7 linked regions of the Sus scrofa genome follow. The protein of the gene in region 7 purifies or fractionates together with the protein of the main gene of each other region. This does not show direct contact. Links are inferred from orthologs where the notes say so. Each region holds a gene or a part of one and is shown on either strand. Other genes may lie near its edges.

Region 1 (4,210 bases), on a different chromosome or scaffold from region 7:
GAACCTGAGTAGTATCCATGAGGATGCTGGTAGATCCCTGGCCTTGCTCAGTGGGTTAAGGATCCAGTGTTGCCGTAAGCTGTGGTGTAGGTCGCAGATGTAGCTTGGATCTCGCATTGCTGTGGCTGTGGTGTAGGCCGGCAGCTGTAGCTCTGATTCGACCCCTAGCCTGGGAACTTCCATATGCTGTGGGTGCAGGACCTAAAAAGAAAAAAAAGAATGGAGACTAGAAGAAGGGACAAAAGGAACTGGTTCTGCTGTTTGCTCCAACAATTTTACTATTAAAAAAAAAATGTGGTATAGCTCTACCTCTTCAGGCCAATGTTTTGGTCAACATTCTATTCCGTTTAGACTAAAGAGTAAGCTAAAAAGGACTTCCAGAAGCCCACATTCCTTGTTTAAAAGTTCTGCATTAAGTATGTCTTGTTGGAGAAAGCCTTTTTTTTTTTTTTTTTTTTTTTTTTTTTGGAATACTGCTGAGCTGCACACACCTCTAAGAAAATGTGGTTATTTTGTTTCCTGCAGACACTAAGGCATTCTAGCTAGAAGGCTATGCACAGTGACAGATAAAGAGTAAACACTACTAATGAGGTGAGAGAAACTACAAAAATACAGCACACACAACCTTGAGCCACGTAACATAGAAGCCCTTACCTAACTCACATGGCCAATAAGTGAGAGATCTGGAATTTTAACTCAACTCTCTCCAAAGACTGAGCCAACACTCACAGGGCTGTCATATAAGAAGTCCAGGCATGAATGGCACATGGTAAGCATTCGTTAAATCAGAATGCCTTAGGAGCTCTTCATACATTCAACTGACAAATATTTGGGTGCCTATTGTGTGCCAGACACTGTCCTAAGGGATGAAAATACAGTGAAGAAGACAAAAAGGATCCCTGCTCATGGAGTATCATCTCAGATTACATAGGCCTTCCTCAACCATCCTATCTAAAGTAGTCACCCAGTCACTCTGTATCACATCATTACTTTAATTCTCCATGTAGCTTTACCAATAATCTAATAATTTCTGATCCGTCTCTACACTCTAGAATGTAAACTCCTGTTCCCCAATAACTTAAAAAGAATGTCAGAAATAGTTGTTAAATGAATTAATGAAAGAGCAGCTTCAAAGGCAGTTTGAAGATCATGGGGAAGTTAGTAAGCTGCACTTTTCCTATCCAAAAAACTGGTATAAAAAACATACAGTTTACAATTCACAGGACTGCTTTTAGGACTGAGATAGTGAGCTCAGTACACTATTAGCTCCTACTATTAAGAATCACTATACTAATTATAAAGATAGAAGTATAGGTTCTACTCAAGAGACCAAAAAAGAAAACCTGTTCAAGTGTTTAAAAGTTTGTGATTGAATGAAGTTATCTGAAATTTTCAGAAATCAGGCTAATAAGGACTTATTATTACTGTACCTAGTTTTTTTTTTGTTTTGTTTTTTTGTCATTTTAGGGCCACAGCCTTGGCATGCTGAAGTTCCCAGGCTAGGGGTTGAATCAGAGCTGTAGCTGCCAGCCTATGCCACAGCAACGCAGACCCAGTGGCCTCTGTGACCTACATCACAGCTTACGGCAACACTGGATCCTTAACCCACAGAGCATGGCCAGGGATCGAACCCAAGCCCTCATGGATACTAGTCAGGTTCGTTAACCACGTGAGCCAGGACAAGAACTCCTGTGCATAGTTCTTAATACTGTAACATCTACATTTGGGTGACATTTAGAAAAAGCATGGGAAAACAGGATGCCATAGGAACATCTCTCTCCTACTTAAAACTTAACCGATATATTTTTTTCATGTTACTTCAATAGAAATACTGCTTTTTATAAGAGATTTCTTTTGTAAATAAATGGTTACCAGATATGGGGAAAAACGGAACATGTATATACTAAAATGCCTAACAGAATCCATTAATTTAGAAATATTTTACATTTCATTTAGCTGATTAGACCCTAAATAGTATTACAGATGCACTTCTAAATATTTAAAGGGTGCATTACTTAGATACGGTTTGTCTCTTCAGTCATTCTCACAGATTCAGAAAATACTTAAACTTTGGTTCAAAGACCGCCCTCCAGTGGTTCTCAGAAGCTTAGGTAACTAGGCTTTTGTGTATTTAAAAAACCCTAGATCACTTGTTTTGCAGTAGACCTTAAAGAGAAAAGGATCCCTTTGAGAATTTACGCAGTGAACCTACCTCGGAAAAACGTTAACATTCGTTTTTGCATTGTTAGATCAGTTCGCGAAGCCCTAGAAAGTCCTTCTGTGGCTCTAAGAATAAGAACCCGGGAGACAGTTTATCCATGCAGCTATTTTCAATTGACTGACACTACCTATACCAATGAGTAAGCTGTGGCTAGGCAAGTAACAGTTAAAGCTGGAATCTGAAATTCACTTTTGTGTGGCTAAGGCTCTCAATCCAAAACAAAGATTCACAGGATCCTGGTTTATAACGTGGACTCAAAATATCACACTCACTTCAAAAGCGGAATAATCTGGGGCTGTCAGGTAGCTCAAGTAGTTCTTGGTAGGTCGGTACCTGCGAGTTTCCTCCTCTACCAACGCCGCGGCCTAAGAAAGAGAACAGAGGCCAAAATAAGAGGAGCACATCGTTAGGTCAGTCTTCCAGCCCGAAGTGTCCGCGAGCGCTGAGTCAGTCACACAGACACCCGGAACTTACCGCTTCCCGCACACCAGGCGCTTCATAACCCTGGTCAAAATACGGCAGCGCGTCTACAACAACCTCTCCAGCCACCAAACCGGTGCCCGCCATTCTTGGGCTCGCCTGACTTCTCTGAGTCTGCGCGGGCTCAGGCTCGCTTAAATAGGCCTGCACCCGATATTAACATAATCACGTTGCCGACGTCCGACACCTACGTAATCACGTCGAACATGTAATCACGTCTATCGTCAGCGCCGACACTGTCCTAAGCACGTCGCTTGCGTAATAGCTTTTGGCGCATGCTCAGTTAATTCCGAGGGCGTGCTAACTAGAAATTGTCCAGCCTTCTTGTTTTGGTCGGACGTGACGTCATGTTGTGTGGCTCCGGAGTCTGCAGGAACGTCTCAATTTCCTGTCCCCACCTGCTGCGCTTTTTTGCCTCCGATTGGCAGCCAAGTGGAAGAGTTGGGACTTTTGGTTTCCTCCGGCTCGCTGATATCTGGGAGGGGAAACCCTTTAATAAAACTTTTGAGGGAGGGGAAACCCTTTAATAAAACTTTTGAGGGAACTCGCTGCAAGATTTAGCGAAGAGAAGGATCCTGGTTTCCCACCTCGGCTTTATTCCCCTAACCTTCCAGTCTTCGGTTAAACTACTCTCCCTTTTCACTTCCTTGCTCTATCTGCACTATTGTTCTCCGTCCCTTGAGAATCTTTGCACCGAATAAGTGGAATAAGTGCAGCTCTCGCAGACTCTAGAAGTGGGCGTTAGACTCCAGTGAAAACTGCGAAGCTTTGGAGTCTGGAGTGTGCCTAACAAAAGGAACCTGATCTTCCCCCGGGGCGAGATTGGTAACTGCCCACTAACCTCATCTTTTAAAAAACTGATTTTTGCCTTCAGGACGTGTATAAAATCCAATCATTTTGCTTTTAGGGCTTCTGGTAACAGGACAATCTTTCTCATTGCATCCTAACACTCGTGATACTGCCAGTACCTATTTCCAGCTCCCTTTGATTAAGCAGGGGAAGACTAAATAAGGTAGGTAGGACTCTATACCGTGTCCGGTGTGCAAATATCGACCCAGACTTTGCCAAGAGCCTGGAAATGTCGGCCACGGTTATTAAGCTTGAACCTAGGATTATCTTTTAACCTACCATTAATTAAGTGTGCTAGCTATATAGATTTAACTGAAGTAAAAAATCTACAACTTAAGCCATTTAAGATTCTCCCAAGAGATCCACGGAATTTTTTGTTTATTAAAAGATCTGTAAACAACATTTTATACAAATCTTGAGCAATTACTTTACAAACATGTCCAGAATTTGTAATACTTTACAAAAGCAAAATAAAAGACTTAAGAAAAGGAAGCAGCTTCAGATTGCAGGGATAAAATAAGACCCCCATCCCTGTAGCAAAGCAAAAGTCTCCTCACAGAGGGATGGCCAGGATCCACCAGTTACACCTTCTATCCCCATTTTATAAACACTCAATTCCCAATTACTAACTGTTCCCTCAGGATTGGAGTTCCCTCAGAA
Region 2 (4,202 bases), on a different chromosome or scaffold from region 7:
TAAACTACTACCCCCCAAAAAAGAGTAAAAGGCAAGCCATATAGTATGCTCACACTCAGAATATATAAAGAAATCTTAAAAGGAATAAGAAAAAAGAAAACCCACTAAGAAAAAAAATGGGAGAAAGACTTGAATGGGCACTTTGTAAAAAAATATCAGAATGGACAATATGCTTAACTATTATTAGAAAAAAGCAAATGAAAGCAATAGTGCACTGGTACTCACCAGAATTGCTAAAATTATGAAGACTGACAGTGCAAATGAGGTTAATGTTGGCAAGTGATGGAAACCCTTACACACCACTACAGTGTGGAAATGATTCCAGCCTCTTGGAAGTTATCATCAGGCAGTACCTATCAATAATACCACACACTTTGTCTCCTTAGTTTCACTCCTGGAAAAGTTCAGGCACAGGTGCATGCGATCCACGTACAACAAAATTCATAGCAGCATTATGCAGACTAGCCCCAAGCTGGAAACAAACCTAATGTCCATCGACAGCGAAATGGATTGTTATGGTGTAAGAGACGCAATAGAATTCTATACAGCAGCAAGTAAGCAAATCATTGCTGCCTGCAACCTGGATGGATTTTAGGCATGACACAGAGCCAAAGAAACCAGATACAAAAACAGATTGCATCATTCTCTTTATATAAAAGTAAGCAAAACTAATCTATGGTGACGGATTCGTAGTTCCCTTTGGGGAATGAAGGAGTCTCCGAATTTCAGGACCCCAGCAGCAGCCACCCAAATGTGCTCACTCTGTGGGCATTTGTCATGTTGCAGACTTTAGATCTGCACACTTCCTGTGTTATCAGGCTTCAGCATGAATATCTAATTGTCTAGAGAGGGCAGGCCTGACTGCAAACTAGACCAGTGCGGAAGACCCAGGCTTGGTCTTCATGGTGTCACCCGGATGCCAAAGCCCGGGACCCATCACTGAATCCCATGGGCGGAGTGAAAGCAGTCACTGCCTCCCTTTCACCTCTAGGTGTCCTGACGCACGCGAAAGTTCCACTCGTGGGCTTTCACTCTTTATTAACTTGCGGACACAAATATCTGGACTCGGGGGCACTGCAGGCCGAAGCTGCACAAGAGGAACGAACTCAGAACCAGATGCGCCGCGGAGAGCGCGGGAGCTAAAGCCCAAAAGCTGTGCCCGAGCCCGGGGGCGGGGCCGATCACGGAGGAAATGGCTCCTCGATTGATTAGGCCTGGGAGCCGCGCTGTTAGCACACGCCGGAAGCGATTGATGCTGCCTGGCGGCGGGCGCGGGGTACGCCGGGACGTCGGTGCGGCGGGAGGAGCGGGAGACACTGCAGGCGGGAGGCGACAGGATGGTGAAGCTGACGGCGGAGCTGATCGAGCAGGCGGCGCAATACACCAACGCCGTGCGGGACCGCGAGCTGGACTTGCGAGGTGAGTCGGGCGGGGGCGGGCGGCCCGGCCTCCCCGCCCGCTCGGCGGCCTGCGCCCGCCGCGTGCGCGAAGGGCGGGAACGTGGCCTGGGGCGTGCGTCCCGGTTCCTACCCCGGCTGAGTCCCGCTGTCGTCGGCGAAACGCCGACCCTGGACTCCTTCGAGGCTCTCCTTAGCCCAGCCCCCACCGCCCGGGACCGCCTCGATGCTTGGGTCAGACCGCGGGGCCGGTGCCGGGCCTGCCGAGTGACCTGAGCCGTTGGGGGGCGGGGAAGTACACGCCTGCGGGGTGGGCTGAGCCGTTGGGGTGCTGAGCCGTGTTTGTGATCCTCGTGCGGACCGAGATACGGTAAAGTGAAGTCATGAGAATATAGGTTGGGTATGGGACGGAGGAAGTGAAGTCCGGAGCAAAAGCGATTTTTTTTCCCGGCTTTTCCTCCTCCTTAGCTTCAAGGATCTATTTCCCTTTTGCCAAAACCTTTCAAAGAGCAGACTGTTTCAGCCACGCTAGGGCTGCCGGATGTCTTGCGTCTATAAGGGAGGCGGAAGTCCTCCAGACTATTAGATTCCTGTGGCAACTCGTCTGCATAGTAGGAGAGGCTTTAGAAAGGGTGTGAAGGACGACTTCTCCGGGGTTAAGTGTTGGCTTGAGATCCACCCCCACGGGGGAGAACACCGTCTCAGGAGCAGCACTGCTGCGGGCCCTGCTTTCTGCTTGCTTTTTTGTTTGCTGACATAGTACTTTCGTTTTGTTGAAATTAAATATCATAGGTTCGACTCAAGAGTAACCCACCGCTTTCATACTCTTGGCACAGGCTGATGTCTGCCTGAGTTTGAAGTGCATCCGGTGTTGAGAATGCTCGTTTTGGTACAGCACTTAACTTTGAGCCTTTAGAGCTCTGAAATGTGTACTTATTTAACCTTGCCTAGGTTAACTTCTTTTCTTCTCCTAGCACCTAAGACAATAATTATGCCCCTAGAAGACAAATCAGTGAGCGTTTGAGTGAGTTGTTCACAAGGTGATTTACCATTGTGTACAAATTGACCTTCAACTCTGGGTTGGGCCTCTGGGAGGTGAGAGAAGTGGGAACTGTCATGATACGAAGATATCCAAATGAGTTCTGGGAATCTGACCTGTGGAAATGCAAAAAAGGTTGGGAGCTATTACTGTCCACAATACGTGGACAAGGCTTGGACACTGACAGTAGGCAGCTCACAGTGTAAAGTCCTGTTAGGCCACTTCATTAGCTTTGGGGCCTTGCTTAGAACAATACAAGGCACCTTGTAAGTATACTTGGAAATGTTAGCTACCTATTAGTATTACTGTTAGCGAGTATTCTCATCTTTATTGCCCTTGTAATCAACCAGTGCTTTGGCAGTGTTTGGCACAGCATAGGTGCTAGATAAACAACTTTCTGATTGAATGAAAGCTTTGAGTCCAATTACCATGAAATGCTGCTAATGTTTCCTTGTGTGTTTTTTCCCTCCTTTCTCCAGGGTACAAAATTCCTGTCATTGAAAATCTAGGTGCTACCTTAGACCAATTTGATGCCATTGATTTTTCTGACAATGAAATCAGGAAACTAGATGGTTTTCCTTTGCTGAGAAGACTGAAAACATTGTTAGTGAACAACAATAGAATATGGTAAGTGTCTACTAGTGGAAAGTAATTTTTGTTCCCCTAGAGTAAATGTAGCAGAGTTCCATAAAGAAGTTGCAGTATTGCCAGTTACACCTACGTATTTCTTAAATGGAAAATGAACTACACTTTTCCCATACAGATCCAGAGATGAATTTGGTATTGGTCTGGTCTTACTTGCATCTATTCAGAAATCTTGTATTATTTATGTATTCATGGTACATTTCTAATTTAAGTTAAAAACCTACTGCTTTGGGGAGTTCCCATTATGGCTCAGCAGGTTAAGAACCCAGCTAGTATCCATGAGGATCTGGGTTCAATCCCTGGCTTTGCCTGGTGGTTTTAGAATCTGGCATTGCCATAAGCTGCGGCATAGGTAGCAGATGTGGCTCGGATCTGGCATTTCTGTGGCTGTAGTGTAGGCCGGCAGCTTTGGCTTTCATTTGACCCCTAGCCTGGGAACCTCCATATGCTGTGGGTGCAGCCTTAAAAAGACACACAGACACACACACACACACACACAATAGAAGTGCTGGGTAGTGAGTTGCTTTTTTTTAAATGCCCATTATTTCTCGTGAGTTAACTATTCCACTGTGGTTTGCTTACTGGCTTATCTTGTGCCTGAGCTCTGACTGCAGAATCACTTATGTTTTTGGGCTTCACACAGGTCCTGAGATGAACTAAGTAGTCTGTTTTACACAGGAATTTCTTGTCTTTGGTTTCGTTAAGATAGTGTGGCAGTAGGAAGGGCCCTGGACATCTTTCAGGAGATGTGGGTTTTAAAGTCATCCTACTTCTGTCACCTGTGTGACCTCAGACAGTTCTTTTTGTGCCTTATTTTCCTGTCAGGGTCTTGGAAGAAAGATCTCTTAAGTTTCTTCCCACTCTGAAGCCCTCTGAGCAAGGGCTCAGATAAAATTTTTAGCTGACTTAATTTGCATGTTTACTAAGAGTCCTTCTGTTTTTATTTCAGCCGTATAGGTGAGGGACTTGATCAGGCTCTGCCCTGTCTGACAGAACTCATTCTCACCAACAATAGTCTTGTGGAATTGGTAAGTTGAACAGGGGAAGAATGTATTTGGGGGGAGGAATTAAAGGTACTACATTTCTTTTATAGAAAACTTGGAAAACCCAGAAAATTATCC
Region 3 (4,458 bases), on a different chromosome or scaffold from region 7:
GTCCTTGGTCCTAAGGCTCTCTGTACTTCTGCCCTTGGTGATTTCATCCAATATTATAGTTTTAAATACATACAAATACTCATAATTCACAATAGTATATCTCCAACCCAGACTCTCCTCTGGGCTCAAAGCCTGTATTTCCAGCTGCCCGCTTGACAGCTCCACTGGAATGTCTCAAAGGCATTTCAGATTTACCATGTTCAAAGCTGAATTTTCAGCCCCCACCCCCCCAAACACAAAATAATGACTCTATCCACACAATTATTCAAGCCTGGGAGTCATCCTTAAACTATCCCTCTTCCTTACCCCTCCTTCCCCCATATCCAGTCTAATACTGAGTCCTGAGATTCTGCTTCCAAAAGCTGTCTTAAGTGCGTCTGCCTCTCTCCATCTCCACCACCACTATCATCTCAGCCAAACCACCATCATCTCTCACTTGATTAATTACAGTAGCCTCCCAACTCTCTCTAATTTCACTCTTGCTCTCCTTCAGTCCATTCTCCATGGAGTAGTAGTCACAGTGAACTTTTTAAAATATAAATTGAATGGCACCCTCCTGCTCTAATACTTCAAAGACTTCTAATTACTCTTAAGGAAAAAAATCTCTTTATATTTGAACTACAACCTGGTTATCTTTGGTCTACAAAGATAGACCATTTGACTGTCATTTGACTGCTTATCTCTCCAGCTTTGACGGTGACATTCTTCTCCCATCTTTTTTCGTCCCTCTAGGAAAAGCCCATTCCTACCTTGAGATTTCACATTTCTCTCCTCTTCCCCCATTGTTCACCTGATTAACTCCTCCTCATCCTTTGTTAGTCAAACATCACCTCTGATGTCTTCCTTGAACTACAATTTAAACTAGGTTTTGAGAGTTCCCATAGTGGCTCAGCAGGAACAAACCTGACTAGTAACCATGAAGACAAGGGTTTAGTCCCTGGCCTCACTCAGTGGGTTGGGGATCTGGCATTGCCATGAGCTGTGGTATAAGTTGCAGAAACAGTTCAACATTGCTGTGGCTGTGGCATAGGCGGGCAGCTGTAGCTGCAATTTAACTCCTAGACTGGGAACTTCCATATGCAGTGGGTGCGGCCCTAAAAAGCAATAAACAAACAAACAAACTAGGTTTCCTTGGAGTTCCCTGGTAGTGCAATGGGTTAAAGATCCAGAGTTGTTACTGCTCATTGTTCTGGGGTACATTCCATCCTGGTCCGCATGCTGCACGTGCTGCCAATATAAATAAATTAAAATAAACTAGGTTTCCTTGCTTTTCCCTCTTCCCTCATAGTTTTACTACAGTTGGTAAATATAAACTTTTTTTTACAGCTGAATTGAGACACATTGACTAGTTTATGAGATTATTTGCTGTTTCCTAGAGGGCAGAGTCCAGGAGGTTAGACTTTTTTTTTTTTTTTTTTTTTTTTTGTCTTTTTAGGGCCGCACCTGTGGTTAGGGGTCGAATGGGAGGTGCAGCTGCCCGCCACAGCCACGTGGGATCCGGGCCACGTCTGCCACCTACACTGCAGCTCAGGGCAACTCCAGATCTTTACCCACTAAGCCGGGCCAGGGATGGAACCCGCATCGTCATGAATACTAGTTGGTTTCTTAACTCTACCATTCTCCACCCCGTAAGGTGTAGTTTTCGGCCCACCCACCTCTATGCTCCTGGCAATTGAGCATCATGCAACACCCCTGACAATCACAGACCAAATAAAGAAAAGGATTGTGACATGAACTCTAAAGGTGACTGCGTTTGCGTCCCAAGGCCAGAATATGACGCTGGTAGGTTCATAGCTCCATTCAAGTCGGCGAAGTGCACCACTCCCCTCCCCCGCCCAGACCTGGGGGCTCTCACACCCATCGCCAGGAAGCTCAAGCTCGCCCCTCCACTCTGGACCTTCCGTACAGCATGGCAGCCCCCAAAGGCGTCACCCATAGTAGTGGCTTCCGTACAACATGGCTGCCTACAGGGAGCTCACCGCACCCCCTCCCGCCAGGCCACCGGAAGTTTCCATTTGAAACCGAGGCGGCGGACTCTGTCGGCGCTACGGCAGTTGCTGCCCGGCATCTTTTGAACTCGAGTGACGAGGCCTGCGGGCAGGAGCAGCAGGCGCCTAGGTTCGGCTCTCCTGGGTCTGGAGACTGGCTGGGTGTAGGAGGCCCATGGGATGGACTGGGAATTGAAGAATTTTCTCTATTCCACGTCGTGCTCTCCTGGGGCCCTCCGTCAGCTTGGGTTCCCTGGGCCAGCCCTGGGTAACATTCAGCTTGTGCCTTCCAGGCCCCAGTCGTGCTGCCTCGTTACGATGACCAGCGTGGTTAAGACAGTGTACACCCTGCAGCCCACTTCTGTGCTGAGCAGCTGTCTGGCCGCAGGTGGGTGCCTATGCCGTCCCCACCCCCGCCCCCAGGGCGCTGCCTGGGGTGGTCAGGCCAGGGAGTACGAGGAATCAAATTGGCAGCTGAGAATGGAGGGTGTCGGCAGGGAAGGGCATTCTGTCGGCTCTGAGAGCCCACTAACTCCCTTAGAACCGGACTGTCTAGACTTATGGGAGTTAGGGAAAGAGCCAGATGGTGGGACTTTGTAGATTCGCCCTATATCCGGATTCCCCCAAGCTGAGCATTCACCAATTAGATTTAAGTTGATGATTATTTTATAGTGTTATCCCATTAAGCTAGGAATCCCTTTTTAAACATTTGCCAGTTTTATTTCCAGACTTGGGGTATCTGGAGGTACTGGGTTTGTTGTGACTGAGGGGAAAAGAGAGTCATTTGAAAGACAGGATACTTATTAGGGAGAAGCAGTCGGTTCACATGGTATCTGGTTCACATTTGTAACTGTACAGTGTGTCTCACATAGAACATAATAAACATTTTTTTGGGTGAAGTGAGAGAGAAGGGACAGGCCTAGCTAGTATTTGGGAACCTTGGAAGAAGAGACATGGTTAAAAGCAATGTTTGATTGCTTTGCCATCAGGCTTTGTGTTCTTTGGTTTGTGGTTGCAAGTCATCGCCTAGAGCCTGCAGGTGTGGAGCTGCCTAATCTAGAGATTGTAGCCCAGAACAGGCTTCAAACATCAGCACCTTTGGTGGGAGATTTTGAAGCAGCTGGTTAAGATCCCTTCCCAGTGACTCCACGCAGTTGATTGATGAGCACTAGCAGGATTGACCTGTGAAGTAATAGGCTTTTCTCCAAAAGCCTAAAGTGCTGTGGGAGTTCCTGTCATGGCGCAGTGGAAACAAATCAGACTAGGAACCATGAGGTTGCAGGTTCAATCCCAGGCCTCAATCAATGAATGAATTAAGGATCTGCCGTTGCCATGAGCTGTGGTATAGGTGGCAGATATGCCCCCAAGCCTGCGTTTCTGTGGCTATGGCACAGGCTGGCAGCTGTAGCTCGGATTAGACCGCTAGCCTGGCAACTTCCATATTCTGCGGGTGCAGCCCTAAAAAAGAAAAAAAAAAAAAGGCCAAAGTGTTCTCTTTGCACCTGGTGTCAGCAGGGCTTAGGTGTTGCTGGGGGAAACTGGATCTGCTTTTATGCTGCCTTTCCCTTAAGGGAACAGTGTCTCCCATTCAGTGGGGCATGACTGGCTCTCCCCAGCCAAATTGGAAGTTTTCATCTCTTTGATTTCTCTCCTTGTCCCAGCTTTGTGATCCTGTGTAGCCTCAATAGTTTAGCATTTTTAGGCTGCCTCCCAGGTTTTTTAATTTTGATTTTAGGCATGAGTTGGCTGGTTTTTAGCTTTTGAATCGGTAATATATGCACATGTAAAAACAAAAAAAAATTCCGAAATTAGGAAATGATAGCAAAAAACAAGTCTTCCCTTGACATAGCCAATTAGTTCCTTCTTTAGCGTCTCTCTTTTTTTTTTTTTTTTTTTTCCCATTTAGGGCTACACCCTGGGCATATGGAAGTTCCCGGGCTAGGGTTCAAATTGGAGCTGTAGCTGCCAGCCTGTGCTGCAGCTTGTGGCAACACCGGATTCTTAACCCACTGAGCGCGGCCAGGGATTGAACCTGCATTCTCATGGGTACTACTTGGGTTCATAACCCTCTGAGCCACAACGGGAACTCCTCCTTCTTTTATTTTTTGAATTTATTTTTTATTTTTATTTTTTGGCTGTGCCTGAGGCATGTGTAAGTTCCTGGGTGGGGATTGAACCCTCATCACAGCAGCGACTCAAGCTGCTACAGTGGCAGTGCTGGATCCTTAACCTGCTGTGCCACAAGGGAACTCTGCAATAGAATTCCTTTTTTTTTTTTTTTTGTCTTTTTGCCATTTCTGGGGCTGCTCCCTCAGTATATGGAGGTTCCCAGGCTAGGAGTCGAATCAAATCAGCGCTGTAGCCGCCAGCCTACTCCAGAGCCACGGCAACGCAGGATCAAAGCCTCGTCTGCGACCTACACCACGGTTCACAGCAATGCCGAATCCTTAACCCACTGAGCAAGGTCATG
Region 4 (4,196 bases), on a different chromosome or scaffold from region 7:
GTTCCTGAAAATCCTTAAAAATATGTTCAGTGAATTTTAAAGGTAGTAATAATACTAACAACATTTTCTGAGTAAACTCATACACTTTGCTTTAAAGTGGTAGTATACCAATAAAAATTAGTAATAGTTACTCTGCTAAATGAAGCAGAACAGTAGAAATAAAATAAGCTACTAATTTGGCTTGTTGGTATTTAAAAAATTTATTGAATCTAAAAGTTCTGGAGCGAATCCAAATTTGTGCCTTCTCTCTCCACCCTGTACAGTTTACAACTGGAATTCATGTTAAACGTTAATTTTAATTTTCGAGCATAATGTATTAAAATGTCATTAATAAATGGAAACTACGCGGTCTAAGTATGGAATCCTTCATGTCTCCACCTCCATCACCTAACAAAAAAAACCCAACAACCAGGAAAAGTGAAGGCAGATTCTGGCTCAAGGTGTTACAGGATCGCTAAGCTCCAACAGCACGGAAAACAAAATCCACAAGTCCCCTATTTCGGCTTCAATTGAGTTTAGCAAGCACCAAAGGCCGGGGGCAAAAACTGTTAACAAGAAACTGAGAAAGCAAGTCTGGCCATTGGGCACGCTCACCGCCAGGCAACAAACTCCCACAAACCCATCAACTCGCAACTCTGGCGCTGCAGTTAACTTTCCGAGAGCAGCATAAGTAGGCCCGGAAGAGCCCAAAGGCACCTCCGCGGAGCTGCTTTATCAGCTGCTTCTAAAGTCGCTAGGCGGATGATTCACCGCCTCTCGCGAGGGCAACGAACTACAAACAGACGGGGCATCCGGAACAGGCCAGCGAGCCTCAGCCCAACGCGGGGGGGCGGGCGGGGAATGCGCGCGGCCCCAAAGGCAGCAGACCTACCCTTTCTCTCCAGAGACCGGGAAACTCATCGGGCTCGCCTATTTCACCCCAAATGACCCCGGTCCCTTTGCTCGGCAAGGCTGGGCGGAAAACTACCCCCAATGCGGCGAACCCATTGTTCATTACCTGATGTTCCGCGGAGGCCCCTGCGCAGGAGCCGGGACTCCGGTCGCTGTCGCCGATTTTGGACGGCATCCCGAGACCACCTTTCTCAAGGTTCTCTGGCCTGTCCGAGCTGCCACAAACATCTTACCGAAGCCGGTGCGCCTCTGGGACCAGGCAGACGGCACCGCCCTCCTTCCCGGGGCCCGACCTTCCCGGCGCCGGCGCCTTCCAGCCAATCGGCGGGCCCCCTGAGCCGCCAGACACGCCCCTTCTCCCTCCCAGATTGCGCAGAGCTGACGCACATTCCCACTGCCGCAGGGCGTCCTGTAAACGCGCTCGTCATCCTTCCTGCCAATCAGAGGGGGCGTAGGGCCATCGGTACCCACCTCTTTCCGCCGGCCACTCTCTAGTTCCTGCCGCGCGCTTGGGCGCCTTACGTAAGGTCCACGGTGACCGCTCACCCCCCTTCCCGCGCTGGAACTCTTCCCCGGATTCGTCAACCGCCGCGGTTCTCTTGGGTGCTGTTTCCGGTCGTGAGGCTCGCCACATGAGCGCAGCCCGGGGGCGGGAGGAAGCCCGAAATTCTAGGTGTTAGTTATGTAACTATCCAAACCGGTGAGTGCTGGGTCGGACCTGCCATCCCTGCTGGCCGTCAGTCTTGTTGTTAATGATTGTCTAATACAGTACCTGCCGTGCTTACCCAGTGAGGTTGGTGTGAGGGCAGTGTAAGGCCATGTCGTTAGGAAAGAGACTCGGGGGCGTTTGCTTTCTGCCTGTGTAGGCAACATTTTAATTGGTGTTCGTATGTGATAATGCTTTGTGCAGTTGAAATCCGTTGCTAGAAAGCATATTAAGCATTTTCCAGTACAACACAGGAGGTTCTTGTCCATTGAGGTGGTTCTGAGCTGCATCGAAATAATCCAATATCAGATTACTTTCGAATACCCAGTCCCTGCTCTTCTTGTCTTGAACTTTAAATATTGCCTCAAACATATTGCTTTAAAACACGTTTTAAAAAGTTTTATTGAAGTATAGTTGATTTACATTAAAACACATCTTAACCGTATTACTCCCCCACTCAATACCCCAGTGGTTACCAGTTGTCTACAAAATACAGGCATTGCACTAGGACATCCTACTGACTCCTATTGCAAACTACTGGTATTGTTAACTAGAAGGCCTGTTAACATTTTCAGTGCAAGACATGATGTACTTGTGTACTTAATATAAGGCTTTTTTTTTTTTGGACTTTTTAGGAATATGGAAATTTCCAGGCTCGAGGTTGAATCAGAGCTGCAGCTGTTGGCCTCCGCCACAGCTACAGCAACCCACTGAGCAGGGCCAGAATCAAACTCATATCTTCATGGATACTAGTCGGATTCATTACCGCAGAGCCACAACGGGAACGCCAAGGCCTTCTTTTGTTAAATCCAAAATTTTCTCACTGAACTCTTCCCAGACACAAGAAAATATCTATTGAATTGAGTCACCCAATTGAATAGTTTACCAATTAAAACTTATAAGGCAAATAAAGGAATTTTTGTAATAGATGACAGTGTAGAGTACTCATTTGACTTCTCAGCAAAGGAAAGAATAATATAAACTTAAAGGTGATAATAAACTCTGGTTGAGTTTTAGTAGATGACAGTGCTTCCACAAATGGGGGCTAAAAATCTGTCTCTACAATAGGAGAAGATTGGTAGTAAATTGAAACTCAGCAGAGACCTGTGGGAAGCAGTATGTTAGAGTCCAAACCAGTTATGCTGCCAAAAATATATTTGATACAACACCACCTATTAAGTATTCTTGACAAAATAATTGAATCTGAATCTGGTCAAGCTTTTATGTTACACCAGTTTAAACAAGGAATAGAACATATTAAATGGTACCAAGAGGATACAACCTGCCAAATACAGAATATGGAAAATTCTGTGGGACAAATGACCTAATTTCATCAACAAATGTCAAGTAAAGGAGAACTGGGGGTGAGGAGACTGCTGAACTTTCCAAGATTTAAGAGGCATTATTTGGGTTTTGTTTTGAACAAACTATATATAAAAAGACATGCAGTGAGTTCCAGTTGTGGTGCAGCAGAAACAAATCTGACTAGTATCCATGAGGATGCATGTTCAATCCCTGGCCTCAATCAGTGGGTTGAGGTTCTGGTGTTACCATGAACTGTGGTGTAGGTTGCAGACACAGCTCAGATCCCAAGTTGCTGTGGTTGTGGCATAGGCCAGCAGCTGAAGCTCTGATTTGACCCCCAGCTTGGGAACTTCCATATGCCCTAAAAAAAAAAAAAAAAAAAAAAAAAAAAAAGGCATATACAAAACTGAGAAATTCAGCTAAAATATCTACTTTAATAAAAATCGATACTGAAGATTTTACGGGTACAAATGAGGTTTGTGATTTGCTTTTAAATAATCTAGTGGGGGTGGAGGAATAGAGTGTATGAAACAAAATTGATCATTTGTTGATAATTATTGAAATGGGTGTGGGTAATTGGGAGTTTATGGTAGTGTTATATCTAATTTTTGTGGATGTAAGCATACACATACATTTACTTTCTGCCTTTCATGTGATTGTTCCAAGTGAGATTTTCATTATTAATGTCCATTAGAATTATACTTTTTTTGACCTTTTGCTTACTTCAGAATCCTGCATATAGATTGAACAGAACCAGAAAGGCTTCAGGTAAATAGAGATGGCTATGACTTTGTGTTACAGTTTTTAATCAACCTTCCAGTGAAAACAAATATGGAGGAGTTCCCGCTGTGAAATGGGATTGGTGGCATTTCTGCAACACCAGGACTTAGGATGTCTGGCCTAGCACAGTGGGTTAAAGGATCTGGCATTGCCATAGCTATACAGTCACAACTGCTGCTCAGATCTGATCCCTGGCCCGGGAACTCCAAATGCCAGCAGAGTGGCCAAAAAACAAAACAAAGAACCAAAACCAGATTGAGGATGAATTTTAATGACAGAATAAGACCTTTAAACATCATTTATGTTTTTTTCCCTGAAATAAAGGAAGCTTTCAAAATTAACATAATCTCATTTCTGGCACCTTCTTTTTTTTTTTCTGTCTTTTTGCCTTTTCTAGGGCTGCTTCCCGCAGCATATGGAGGTTCCCAGGCTAGGGGTCTAATCAGAGCTGTAGCTGCCAGCCTATGCCAGAGCCCCAGCAATGCGGGATCCAAGCTGCATCTGCGACCTACAC
Region 5 (3,664 bases), on a different chromosome or scaffold from region 7:
TGCCAGGCACTGTGGTTATAATCCTTACTTTCATGCCTAAGACTTAAGCTCTTTGTGCCCACAGGCCCCTAAAATATCATAAGAAATGCAGGATTTGATTCAGTAAGCTAAATGATGTTTGTTTTCCCGTAGAACATACAACCTCCTCCTCGGTGTCAAAGAAGCCTCGGTTAGACCAGATTCCTGCCGCCAACCTCGACGCAGATGACCCTCTAACAGATGTACGTTTTACTCCCTCCTCTCATCTCTGTGTAGTGATTTACTTATCTTTTTTTTTTTTTTTTTTTTTTTAAATACTGTTGTATTTAGTCTTCTGGCTTTAAGAAGTGATTTGTATTTATTTTGACTTCCTGTTGCTCAATTACAGCCCTGACTTCAGTGCTAAATTTTAGCGTTTATTTTAAAACAAAAAGCCTTCTCTTACGGTTAATCAGACTTTAAATTCGATCCCTGGAGAACCAGTGAAGGAGGAGATCTATTAAAAGATATGCTTCCCTAAAAAATAGCTCCCTGTATTAAACCGGGGAAACTGGACTAGTTATACCCCTCCAGAGGGCACTCCTCAGACTGGGCTCTGTATCAGTAACATCCCCTACAGTGAACGTGGGGGCCTTTCCACACTTGCCACCAGTGATGCCCTTTCCGGATGTTCATGCACTCAGTGGCTCGATCTGTGCCTAGGGAGGTATGTGATCTAACTGGAAGGTTTCTAAGTTTTGGTACTTTAACATTAAAATTTAGTGGGTCCTCAGGGCATATAATTAATTTGCAGTTTTCTACATGCAGAGGAAAAATCTGAGTGCCTTTTCTAGGGTAGCATCTAATTAAGCATATATAAGTAATTCTAGAGCAGACAGACTGAATTAAAAATTAACTCAGTAATTAAATATAAAGAACTCAGTTTTAAGTGAGATTTAATGATTGTTCGTCTGAAATTTTTTTCTCTGAGAATTTAGTACCCTCTTTTGGTACTTTTGATTATCCTTACTTCCTAGTTATTCTGAGCTATATAAAATTATTTTAATTCCCAGGATCACAATATATAGTGTACCTCAGTATACAGTGTTCCTTTTCAGGTTTTAGAAATATTTTCAGGGAGTTCCCATTGTGGCATAGCAGAAACGAATCTGACCAGCATCCATGAAGATGCTGGTTAGATCGCTGGCCTTGCTCAGTGGGTTGGGGATCCGGAGTTGCCATGAGCTGGAGTGTAGGTTGAAGACATGGCTCTCTGATTCAACCCCTAGCCTAGTAAGTTCCATGTGCCATGGTGCAGCCCTAAAAAGCAAAAAAAGAAAAGAAAAAAAAAAGTTTTCATATGTAAATATTTGTTTGACCATGTAAATTTGAAAAGTACTTCATTATACTATTTACTGTTATAATGTCTAAAATAGTCAGAGTATTGACATTTTAGTAAGCAATCATAAGCTTTTTGTGGTGTTTTATTTTTTGGTTGGTTACTGCTTCTAATCATATTTACGTACATTTATTTTTCCAACTAGGAAAATTCTGCTCCAAAGATTTGATAAGTGTCATTTTTATGGAAAAAAAAGAATAATGTCTCTTTTGTCTCTAATCTCCTGGGCCATCACCATTCTTTTTTAGGAGGAGGATGAAGATGAAGATTTTGAAGAGGAAAGTGATGATGATGATACCGCAGCTCTTCTTGCAGAGCTGGAAAAAATCAAGAAAGAGCGAGCTGAAGAGCAGGCCAGGAAGGTAAAACCAACGTGTTAAATATTTATATCTTCTTACATTAGCTAAAGTAGAATGTTTTTTAATGTAAGTGGTATCACCTTATACTGGAACTCATCCTTGCTATGTCTAGATATTATAGCACCTGGAGGTCTATAAATCTGGTAATTTCTGTGACATCCTCAGTCTCCCACTTATATGGGAAATTCTAACTAGTTTAGACCCTTTAATAATAAAACTCATCACATTGCTCTTCATTCACTTATTTGTTCAACAGACATTTGGTCAGTGTCTGTTAAGTGTCAGAAGAATCAAAGATCGTGAAGATGCAGTCGTGGCCTACAGAGAGCCCACAGGTATAAAGAGGCCATCTTTATCTCTCTGCTTCTCGTCTGCCCCAGGCCTCTTTCCAGGCACCTTGCTGAGGCCGCCTATCAGTGGATTTTCTATAACCCAGCTTTTCTGAGTCCCCACAGCCTCTGTGTTTACGTAATGGAAGGAAAGAATGTCTGACTCAAAGACAATTAGAAGGATTAAATGAGATCCGTGGTATGTACCTTTAAACTTTGGACGAACAAACCATCACAGTAACAATAAGAGAGAAAACTTGGATGGCAAGAGCAAGTCAGAGCACCAGAGGTTTGTAGGGCAGCTCTAAAGAGGTTTGAGCTCTGTTCGGAATGATTCGCAGAACTAGTCCATTTCAGCAGGAGACAGTAAGGTTGGGTTGCATTTTAGAAAGATTACTTTGCCAGTGGGGAGAGTGGAAGAAAGAACTGATTAGGAAGCCGTTCCAGTAATCCTCAGGTGCAGTTAGGAGAATCTTGCATGACACGAGTTGGATTTGAGAGAAGTAAACAGATGCTGATAGAGCTGTCAAGGAGGAAGAATTGGCCAGAGAAGGTAACTGATTAGAGGTGGCAGTTTCTGGGTCAGTGTTGGTGCCATACCCTAATTCAGGAATGCAGAAGGATGGGCATGTTTCCGAGGAGAGAAATATGATGAGTTTGTTTGGAACACACTGAATTTAACAGAATTGTGTGTGAGGCACTTGAGCTTTTTTACGGACTTCTGTGGAAGATTTCGTTTGAACCAAGAATGGTTCTATTTAAAAAATTACAAAAAATAAAATGTAAATTTTAAAAATATATTTAAAAATATTAAAAAATATATTTAAAATCATCAAAATTTGGATAGCATAACTCCTGTAGAATTGTAAGGCCATTCCTAATACCACTTGCACACCACAAGAGGGCAGTTGCTCTATTCCAAATCCTGCTGGCCTTCTTCACAGCTGTGGATATACAAAGAGTCATTTAAATGTGTTTTGTTGATCTTTAAGGAGCATAAACATTTCAGACAGGGGATCTTGGCACTTTTGCAAGGTTCATCTGATTTCTTTGTACAAAGATGAGTTGGTGTTTTTTGGAATTGAATAACAGTTTTAATTTTCTTGTCTCTGTTTCCCTGTCTGGCTTTCTAGTGGCTGGTTTTTGAGGTGTTTCAAAATGTTCTCAAACTTGTCAACCTGTGTCAGGGGTTGGGAAACTTTCTGTAAAAGGCCAGATAGTAAGTATTTCAGGCTTGCAGGTCATATAGCTTCCATCTGCTAATTATGGTATAAGCAATCGTAGGCAGTACCTAAATAAATGAATGTGACTGTGTTCCAATAAAATTTCATTAACAAAACAAGATGGTTCGGGTTTGACCAAATGGCAGACTGTCCATCCTTTATGGCTGTGGTCAGGAAACAGTGTACCTGGTACTTGAATATGGAAAGAGTTGGCACCTTTTTTCCCCCAGTGCTGTGTGTGGCAATCAACCAGTAACTCTAAAGGAAATAATGTAAAATCGGCAGGACCTTATTCCCTCACATATGTTATTATATTATGAATTTGGATATGTTGTATGCTTGAGCACTGATAGTTCTACCTTCTCGGAGGTAAGTCTTTTTACTTTTAGCATCAAT
Region 6 (3,373 bases), on a different chromosome or scaffold from region 7:
GGATCGCGGACAGCGCTCCGTCTCCTGGACCCCCAGGGCTGTCTGCTGCAGGCCAGCCTTTGGGCTGAAGCAGGTGGTGGGAGGGAGTGCGGAGCTCGAGGCGGAAGAGGCCTTCCGTGTGCCGGGCGGGGGCGTGTGCCTAGTGTAGCTCGGACTTTGCTGGGAGAAAGGGAAGGTGCACAGGTTCGTAAGGCCTCCCTGGCCTTCTTTTTAAATTCCAACAAGATAGGCCTTTGGCTTTACAGCTCCCAAGCTTGGCGTGAGTCCTCGTGTCCCCCTTTCAAGGCCTCCACGAGGTCTCTTTGGGGTCCGCCACTTCCTCTGCCTGTCTCCAGGTGGTGCAGGAGGTGTGGCCCCTCTCCTTCCCGTGGCTCCCTAGAGGCCCCGGTTCCCCTTCCCTGTAGCTTTAGCTGACCTCGTGGTGGTGGGTGTGGGGTCTGTGCGCGTGCTCAGGTAAGCTTGGGGGCTCCAGGTAAGCGGTCCCGTGTCCCCCCCCCCCCGGGAAGCCCGCCTCCTCGCCAGGCCCCCAGGAGTTGCCGAGCCCCCCCCATCCCGCTCGGTTTGGACACCCGCAAGGCCGGCATCGGTAAATGGCACCTTTTTCTCTTCCTCTGGTTGTTATTTGGGGGGGCGAGGGCTGGGGCGGGGCAGGGTATTGTGGTTGGTTGAGGACAGCCCCCTAGCCAGGGCCGGGGGTGGGCAACAGGGACTCTTCTGGCCTTCCCAACCGCCCCCCAAGAGATAGGCCAGGGAGGGGGCCTCTGCCCACAGCTCCCCTCTGCTCCTCCGCCTCCCGGGAGGCTCAGGCTGGGGCCGGCCTCCCAGGGCCCGTTGCGCTGGAGGTGTTGCGGGAGCAATGGGATGGGGCCGGGGCTGGGCGCAGGCCTTTCAGGTAAGGCAGGACATTTGCAGTAGCACCACACGTCTCCCACATCTCCCTCCACTGCCCCTCAGCCCCACCTGCTGTAGGGGCCCCTCCAGGCCCCCTGGGAGCCCCATAGCCCGCCTTTCTGCTCCCTTCCTCCATCTCCTAAAGATCTCCCTCCCCCTCTGGTTCATTTTCTGTTCTGATGTCTGTTCCCCCCACACTCACCCTCCCCGGAAAAAAAAAAAAAAACCCACAGAAAAAGGAAACCGTTGTGAACTGGGGTGCAGAGGGGCCCAGTTGGGCCTGCTCCCCCAGCATGATGTTTTAGGGTGCATGCCTGGGGTTGTGGGGGAGCCCTCCCCCGCAGCAGAGTCCAGCCTTAAGTTAACCTCTGGTTTCTTTGCAGCGACTTTGGCCACCTTGGCAGGGGGGGCTGCTCTGTCGAATGGGAGTGGGGACTTGGGACGGCCTGGGAGCCGGGGGGCGGGGGGGGGGGGGCGTGGTCTGCCCCCCAGTGGCGACTGGGGGTGATGAGCAGCTGCCGATGGAGCAGTCCCCTCCTTGTTTGGGAAGGGATGGGTCTGGCTGGCAGTTGCCTGGCTGTCTGGTGGGTGTGGGGGTGTGTGTGTGGTGTGTGTGCACGTGTGCGAGTGTGTTGATGGGGACCCGGGGGGCGGGGATGCCGCAGGGCTGGGCCTCAGCCTGACTAGAGGACCCTCTGGGGACTCCTCCCCTCCCCCTCCCCGCGTCTGTTGCAGCCGCTTACAAGCACGCAGACGGCAAGAAGATTGACGGCAGGAGAGTCCTCGTGGACGTGGAGAGGGGCCGAACTGTGAAGGGCTGGCGGCCCCGGCGGCTAGGTGAGCACGTCCTGCTGAGGCTGGGCTTGGGGTCCTGCCCTTGGGGGCTCCTTTCTTAGCTCTTTTCTGCACCTCCTGCCGCGCTCTGTCCTCTCTTTCTCTCCTGGCTGCGCCCATCCTTTCTTCCTCGCGCCGGCTCGTCCTTTGTTCTCAGCGTCATTCTTCTGGTCTGTCTGCTTGTTCTGGGTTACCCAGTAGGAGCAGGAGGACTGACCTAGAGAAAGAAGCCAGTTAGGATCGAATTCTGGCTTTCGAGCTTCGTGGCTGGTGGATTTCCACTCTTCATCCCTCCTTTTCCCTCGTCCTGGAAAGTGGGGCTAACCTCAGGTCCCTGAGCTCAACCGTCAGATACCCAGCTGGGCACGTGGCATTTGTTGGGTCTTGGAGTCACTCTCATCTGTTTATGCTTTCCTCCTCTCTGTTGTTCGATCATTCATTCACTGGTTTAGCAAACGCCTCTTTGGTCACCAGCTGTGTACCAGGCTCCTAGTCAAGAGCAGGACATACACAGATGGCGTCTCTGTCCTCAAAGCCTTCTCCGTCCAGTTCCCTCACTGTCTGTCTCTAATTATCGGTCACCGTCTCAGTCAAGATCAATTGGATAACACGTATGAGAAATTTGTGCTTCCTTGGGCGTTCTCTTGTGGCACAATGGGTTAAGGCTCTGGTGGTGTCACTGCTGTGCCACAGGTTCAGTCCCTGGCTCTGGAACTTGCATGTGCCATAGTCACGTCCTCCCCCAAAAAAGACATTTGTGCTTCCTAAGGTATAAAGGGGCTTTGTTGATAGAGAATCTTAGTGTCTTTTGGAGCCTAGAGGCATGTGATGCCTGTGACCGTCCTCTGACGGCCTCGTGGCCAGACCTTAACTGTCAGGAACCACCTGTGGCAGCTTGCTTCCACGCTGTTCACTCTTTCTGTAAACCAGACTCTTTGGTACCTACACTGGTCCAGTGTGCTGTTTCAAACTCCCTGCTTCGGAGTTCCTGTTGTGGCTGGGCACTAACGAACACCACTGGTATCCATGAGGACACAGGTTGGATCCCTGGCCTCACTCAGTGGGTTGGGGATCCAGCATTTCTGTAAGCTGTGGTGTAGGTCACAGACACAGCTCTGATCTGGCGTTGCTGTGGCTGTGGTGGAGGCCGGCAGCTGCAGCTCTATTACAACCCCTGGCCTGGGAACTTCATATGCTGCAGGTTTGGCCCCAAAAAACAAACAAACAAAAAAAACAACCAAAAAAACAAGTGCCTGCTTTGCACCCAGCCCTGGGTGAGTCTGTGTTTCCAGGTGGGTGAATCAAAATGGCTCAACATTGGGCTGAGGTCCTGCCATCCAGACATGGCTGTTGAGGACGAGCTCCTGTGAGCGGGAGAAGCTGTTGTCAGAGAAAACCATCTTCCTGGGTGGACGTCCCAGGAGGGTCCCTTATGGTCCGTCCTTTGTCCTCCCAGGCCACTGTTCTCGCTTTCGACCTGTGTGCTGAGTAGACCGCACTCTCCTCTGCCGAGTCTCTGAGCCTGGTAGACGGGCTCTTAGCTCACTGTCTGGTTTCTCTGGTTGGAGGAAGTCCTTCCGAGGCTGCTGTCTCCCATCGTGGTAGACCCCTGGAGTCCCAGAATCTCCTAGTTTGATTGGCCTTCAGA
Region 7 (4,189 bases):
ATCCTCATGGACACCATGTTGGGTTCTTAACCCATTGAGCCACAACAGGAACTCCAGTCCAACTATTCTAAATATAGTAGTTTGCATCTACTACATCCAAGCTCCCAGTCCATCCTTCTCCCTCGGCAACTACCAGTCTGTTCTTGTCCGTGGGTCTGTTTTGTATATAGGTTCACTTGTGCCATATTTTAGGTTCCACATGTGTTATTACGTGGTATTTGTCTTTCTCTTTCTTAGTATGATCATCTCTAGTTACATCTCTGTTGCAGCAAGTGGCATTATTTTGTTCTTCATTATGGCTGAGTAGTATTCCACTGTATATATGTACCACATCTTCTTAATCCACTTATCTGTTGATAGACACTTAGGTTGTTTCCAAGTCTTGGCTATTGTGAATAGTGCTGCAGTGAACATTGGGGTGCATGTATAAATGGATCCATTTTATTTCCTACCACATCTGAGTACTTAAAATGCCTGGCATTCAACCAACAATAGTTGTGACAGTCCTGCTATATTTCAGGTACTGTGTCAGCCTCTTAGAAACAACAATAACCAGAACAACTGTGGTTCCTGCCATCATGGAATTTACAGTCTAGCGGAGAACCCAGCCATCAGAAAAGTTTTTTCACCTATCAGCATCCGCGCCTTCTTCCTTGGACCTTTCAAAGGGTACTCCGAGAAACACTTGTCAAGAATCACGTGGGAGCAGCCATGGAAAACGCTCTCTTCAGCGGACCCCAGGAAGATGCGTTTTGAGAAGCGGGGTAATTCTCGCTCGCAACAGCGTTTGCAAGACTACGATCCCAAGGCCCCCCCTTCCCGCTCCGGTCTCAAAAGAGTCGATTGGTTTAAAGTTTCTGAGTTGATTGGTTTAAAAAATTACTGAGTTGATTGGATTAAAACTCCCACTGCATCACGGGAAATGTAGTTTCGGCTCTCCTTTCCCCCAACCCCAAGAGAGCTTTACGAAAGGAGCCGAGCGGGCCCGGAAATAGCCGAGTACTTCCTGGCGCGCCCTTTCCTGCCCGGTTGCATTCTGGGAAAGGACAGTTTCCGTTAAAAGCTGGAGGCTGAGGCGCGCGACCAGCCGCTGTCCCACGTGAAACGTTGCGGGAGCATCGTCCAGCGGGGTCGCTCCCCGCTTGCGCGGAGCGTCCCGGAAGCAGCGGGGAACCGGAAGTGGGCCCCGCGGGCTCAGAAGCTGATCCGAAGCCAGGTGTGAGGAGCCTCGGAGCGCAGCTACGGCAACATGTCCCTGATCTGCTCTAGTGAGTATCGCCTGTGGCCGATCGCTGGGCGCAGGAGGCCACAGAGCCGAGTGGGAGGATCTGCGGGCCTCTGCGGCGCCGGGGCGGGGGTGGAGGTGAAAACGCGGCTCCCGGGGGGGCAGGGCGGCGGCCTGTCAGCCCCGGGGGTCCTCCTCCTCAAGCGTGGGGTGCATTTGCGCAACGCTTCACAGTTTACATAACGCCTCAAGTGTATTGTCGCAGGCAGCGCCGAGGCCACCCACCTTGTTTGCGCAGTTGAACAGAGGCCTGGATAGAGGGAGCTGGTGCAGGGGAAACAGCTCTGCTGTAGAAATTAGGAAATGCGAGGGCTCGTGCAGGATCCGCCTCAGATTGGCTTTGTGATGTGGCGCAAGGATGCGGGCCTCAGTTTCCCCATCTGCAAAATGAGGGCCTTGGCACTGGATGTTGTCTGAGGCCCTGCTCGGGTAGGCAGAGCTTCTGCAATTTGCAAAGGTCGGACAGTGAGTTACAGGCTGTGACAGGGCTGGGAGCCAGGGACCTGGCTTCCAGCCTCACCCTTTACGGACTGCTGAAAACAGCGCACTTTTATAAAGCCTCTGTTGATTTACAGCTCGTTTGCAAGACTGTGATCTTGTTATGTTCTCATTTCTCCAGAGCAGAAATAAAGATCCTGTTTTACAGATAAGGATGTAAGGCTGAAGCAGAATGTGGCTTTTGTAAAACAGTACAGCTAGTAAGTGGTAGAGCTGGGTGATGGAGTCAGGTTCTCCCTGACCATGAATCTGTGCTTTTTTCAAATGCCTTGACCTGTCTTTCCTTTCGGTATTTTATTGTGATATTTTGTACTCATTGTTATTGGGTTATTAGTCTCTCATCCTTTTCTTTCTTTGCTTCCTAACTCTCAGGCCCTTTACTCCTCTCAGAACCTTTCCATAAATCCAAAAGAAAAAAAAAGGAAAGAAAGGGGGAAGGGAAATGTGACTAGATAAAGGAAAGGTACACCTTAAAGAAATTATAGTGTGCCAAGTATTTTCACATTCATTGTTTCAATCTTAAGGAAGCCCTTAAGGAAGCTCCATCCTTCCTCTCTTTGGCTCATCTCTTAGATGTTTACTGAGCGCCTGCTGGGCATCTGCCTTGTCCTGGAAGTCGGAAGCCAGCTATAATCTCTATCCTCAAGGGTGTAAATGATACCTCAGTTGGGGGTTGTTGTGGGGATGATTTAAGCAATGGGAAGTGTTTACAGGCTGTGCTTGGCACCTAGTAAACACCACGTAAATGCTTTCTCTTATTATAGCACTTGTCACATCTCTTTGAGAATCCATCTAGGCTTTAGCCTGAGGTTTAAGTGAGGTTTGTGTGTGTCTCCCTGTTCTGCAGTGTAATGGGTACCTAAGCATCTTTGTTCAGAAATGAGACGGGCAGAGATTATTGACTGCTCTCTAGGTACCTAGCATTTAGTCGTTGTGTAGTAACTATTTGTTGATTATTTGACTGTCAGGAGGCTGATGGAGCAGCTAGTTAGAAGGCTGGAAAGCGTTCTGGGTACAGACCAGAACTGGCTCTTGGTGTTCTGGTTGATTCTCATCGGTTGAGTGTAGGCCTCTGGAGGCTGGTAGTAGGTGAAGCATCCCTTTGGCCCAAGGTCCCTTCCCACAGCCCAGGCTCACTGCCTGCCTTTTCTCCACAGTCTCCAATGAAGTGCCAGAGCACCCATGCGTGTCCCCTGTCTCTAATCATGTCTACGAGCGCCGGCTCATTGAGAAGTATATTGCAGAGAATGGCACAGATCCCATCAACAACCAGCCTCTGTCCGAGGAGCAGCTCATTGACATCAAAGGTGCCTGCTGACTGGCCACAGTCCAGGGCCATCTTAGCTCAGAGCCTGGGGCGGGGGAGGAGGTGGTGGTCTGTGAACGCAGGCTGAAGGGGAAGCATGGGGGAGGGGCAGGCTGGCCGGCCACGGGTTTTCACACCCACTTGCCCTCTCTTGACAGTTGCTCACCCAATCCGGCCCAAGCCTCCCTCAGCCACCAGCATCCCAGCCATTCTGAAAGCCTTGCAGGATGAGTGGGTGAGTCCCTGGAAGAGAGTCGGTATCTTCCCCGCCTGATGGACTGGGCGTCGGGGTGGGAGGGCTGGAGCCTTGTGTTCTGTTTCGAGCTAGGGAGGGAGCAGAGGAGAGCCTGCTTGTTGACGTCACACAGATCTGGGTTCCACATGTTGCTCCCTTGCACACTTGCCTTGGGGTTGCTCGTATCACATCTGAGCCCTGATTTTCTTGACCATGTGACAGGATTGGTGCCTGTCTCTCTGGGTTTTGGGAGAATTGGGATAAGAGAGTATAAACTTCCTGATGTCAGGGACTCGTGTGACTCCTGCTAGAGCCCCATCATCGAGGGCAGTGCCTGGCACATAGTAGGTGCCTTGCAATATGAAGAATGAATAAGTCTTGAGCAGTCTGGCGCCATGCCTGACACAACGAGGGCGGTCACTAAATCGCAGAAGTGGCGTTGTCACTGCCTTTGGGGAGGTAACAGCATGATGTCCGAGAATTGCGGTGATTAGTGCAGATGGGATGGGAAAGAGCTGGCTCCCACTCCTGTCTGTGTGCCCAGTCTGGGCATGGGTGGGAGCTCAGGAGTGTCTGCCCGTGCCCTCAAGGTTGCTTGGATGCTACTTGGGTCACTGATCCTGGCCCAGGCCGTGAGGTAGGAGGCAGCGTCCTCTTATCCAGCGCTGACTCTTATGCAGGCGTTCATGCTGCTCCCCACCCCTCACTGTGGTGTCTCGTCCCCAGGACGCAGTCATGCTCCACAGCTTCACCCTGCGCCAGCAGCTGCAGACCACCCGCCAAGAGCTGTCCCACGCGCTGTACCAGCATGATGCTGCCTGCCGTGTCATTGCCCGTCTCACCAAGGAAGTCACTGCTGCCCGAG

Evidence for each region.
Region 1: the proteins of PRPF19 (region 7) and BCAS2 purify together in Homo sapiens (co-immunoprecipitation; 10 studies listed by BioGRID and IntAct, counting the BioPlex papers as one, with this or other methods). This does not show direct contact. The link is inferred for Sus scrofa from reciprocal best matches to the Homo sapiens genes PRPF19 and BCAS2.
Region 2: the proteins of PRPF19 (region 7) and SNRPA1 fractionate together in Homo sapiens (co-fractionation; 3 studies listed by BioGRID). This does not show direct contact. The link is inferred for Sus scrofa from reciprocal best matches to the Homo sapiens genes PRPF19 and SNRPA1.
Region 3: the proteins of PRPF19 (region 7) and KNSTRN purify together in Homo sapiens (affinity purification with mass spectrometry; 4 studies listed by BioGRID and IntAct, counting the BioPlex papers as one, with this or other methods). This does not show direct contact. The link is inferred for Sus scrofa from reciprocal best matches to the Homo sapiens genes PRPF19 and KNSTRN.
Region 4: the proteins of PRPF19 (region 7) and SF3B1 purify together in Homo sapiens (co-immunoprecipitation; 4 studies listed by BioGRID and IntAct, with this or other methods). This does not show direct contact. The link is inferred for Sus scrofa from reciprocal best matches to the Homo sapiens genes PRPF19 and SF3B1.
Region 5: the proteins of PRPF19 (region 7) and CWC15 purify together in Homo sapiens (co-immunoprecipitation; 4 studies listed by BioGRID and IntAct, with this or other methods). This does not show direct contact. The link is inferred for Sus scrofa from reciprocal best matches to the Homo sapiens genes PRPF19 and CWC15.
Region 6: the proteins of PRPF19 (region 7) and SNRNP70 fractionate together in Homo sapiens (co-fractionation; 3 studies listed by BioGRID, with this or other methods). This does not show direct contact. The link is inferred for Sus scrofa from reciprocal best matches to the Homo sapiens genes PRPF19 and SNRNP70.

Annotation. Positions count from the first base shown.
Region 1 is NC_010446.5:105,991,229-105,995,438, reverse strand, and holds the start of BCAS2 (pre-mRNA-splicing factor SPF27), read right to left. Parts: upstream 2,882-4,210; 5' UTR 2,789-2,881; coding exon 2,696-2,788; intron 2,587-2,695; coding exon 2,494-2,586; intron 1-2,493. UniProt on the Homo sapiens protein: Required for pre-mRNA splicing as component of the activated spliceosome. Component of the PRP19-CDC5L complex that forms an integral part of the spliceosome and is required for activating pre-mRNA splicing.
Region 2 is NC_010443.5:145,706,134-145,710,335, forward strand, and holds the start of SNRPA1 (U2 small nuclear ribonucleoprotein A'), read left to right. Parts: upstream 1-1,259; 5' UTR 1,260-1,337; coding exon 1,338-1,419; intron 1,420-2,915; coding exon 2,916-3,063; intron 3,064-4,030; coding exon 4,031-4,109; intron 4,110-4,202. UniProt on the Homo sapiens protein: Involved in pre-mRNA splicing as component of the spliceosome. Associated with sn-RNP U2, where it contributes to the binding of stem loop IV of U2 snRNA.
Region 3 is NC_010443.5:130,927,269-130,931,726, reverse strand, and holds the start of KNSTRN (small kinetochore-associated protein), read left to right. Parts: upstream 1-1,554; 5' UTR 1,555-1,909; coding exon 1,910-2,118; intron 2,119-2,281; coding exon 2,282-2,376; intron 2,377-4,458. UniProt on the Homo sapiens protein: Essential component of the mitotic spindle required for faithful chromosome segregation and progression into anaphase.
Region 4 is NC_010457.5:101,335,112-101,339,307, reverse strand, and holds the start of SF3B1 (splicing factor 3B subunit 1), read left to right. Parts: upstream 1-1,289; 5' UTR 1,290-1,591; intron 1,592-4,196. Other genes in the region: COQ10B (coenzyme Q-binding protein COQ10 homolog B, mitochondrial), read right to left, coding at 998-1,119. UniProt on the Homo sapiens protein: Component of the 17S U2 SnRNP complex of the spliceosome, a large ribonucleoprotein complex that removes introns from transcribed pre-mRNAs.
Region 5 is NC_010451.4:27,040,633-27,044,296, reverse strand, and holds part of CWC15 (spliceosome-associated protein CWC15 homolog), read left to right. Parts: intron 1-132; coding exon 133-221; intron 222-1,605; coding exon 1,606-1,719; intron 1,720-3,664. UniProt on the Homo sapiens protein: Involved in pre-mRNA splicing as component of the spliceosome. Component of the PRP19-CDC5L complex that forms an integral part of the spliceosome and is required for activating pre-mRNA splicing.
Region 6 is NC_010448.4:54,298,343-54,301,715, forward strand, and holds part of SNRNP70 (U1 small nuclear ribonucleoprotein 70 kDa), read left to right. Parts: intron 1-1,626; coding exon 1,627-1,732; intron 1,733-3,373. UniProt on the Homo sapiens protein: Component of the spliceosomal U1 snRNP, which is essential for recognition of the pre-mRNA 5' splice-site and the subsequent assembly of the spliceosome. SNRNP70 binds to the loop I region of U1-snRNA.
Region 7 is NC_010444.4:10,850,546-10,854,734, forward strand, and holds the start of PRPF19 (pre-mRNA-processing factor 19), read left to right. Parts: upstream 1-1,233; 5' UTR 1,234-1,249; coding exon 1,250-1,268; intron 1,269-2,940; coding exon 2,941-3,090; intron 3,091-3,247; coding exon 3,248-3,324; intron 3,325-4,050; coding exon 4,051-4,189. UniProt on the Homo sapiens protein: Ubiquitin-protein ligase which is a core component of several complexes mainly involved pre-mRNA splicing and DNA repair. Required for pre-mRNA splicing as component of the spliceosome.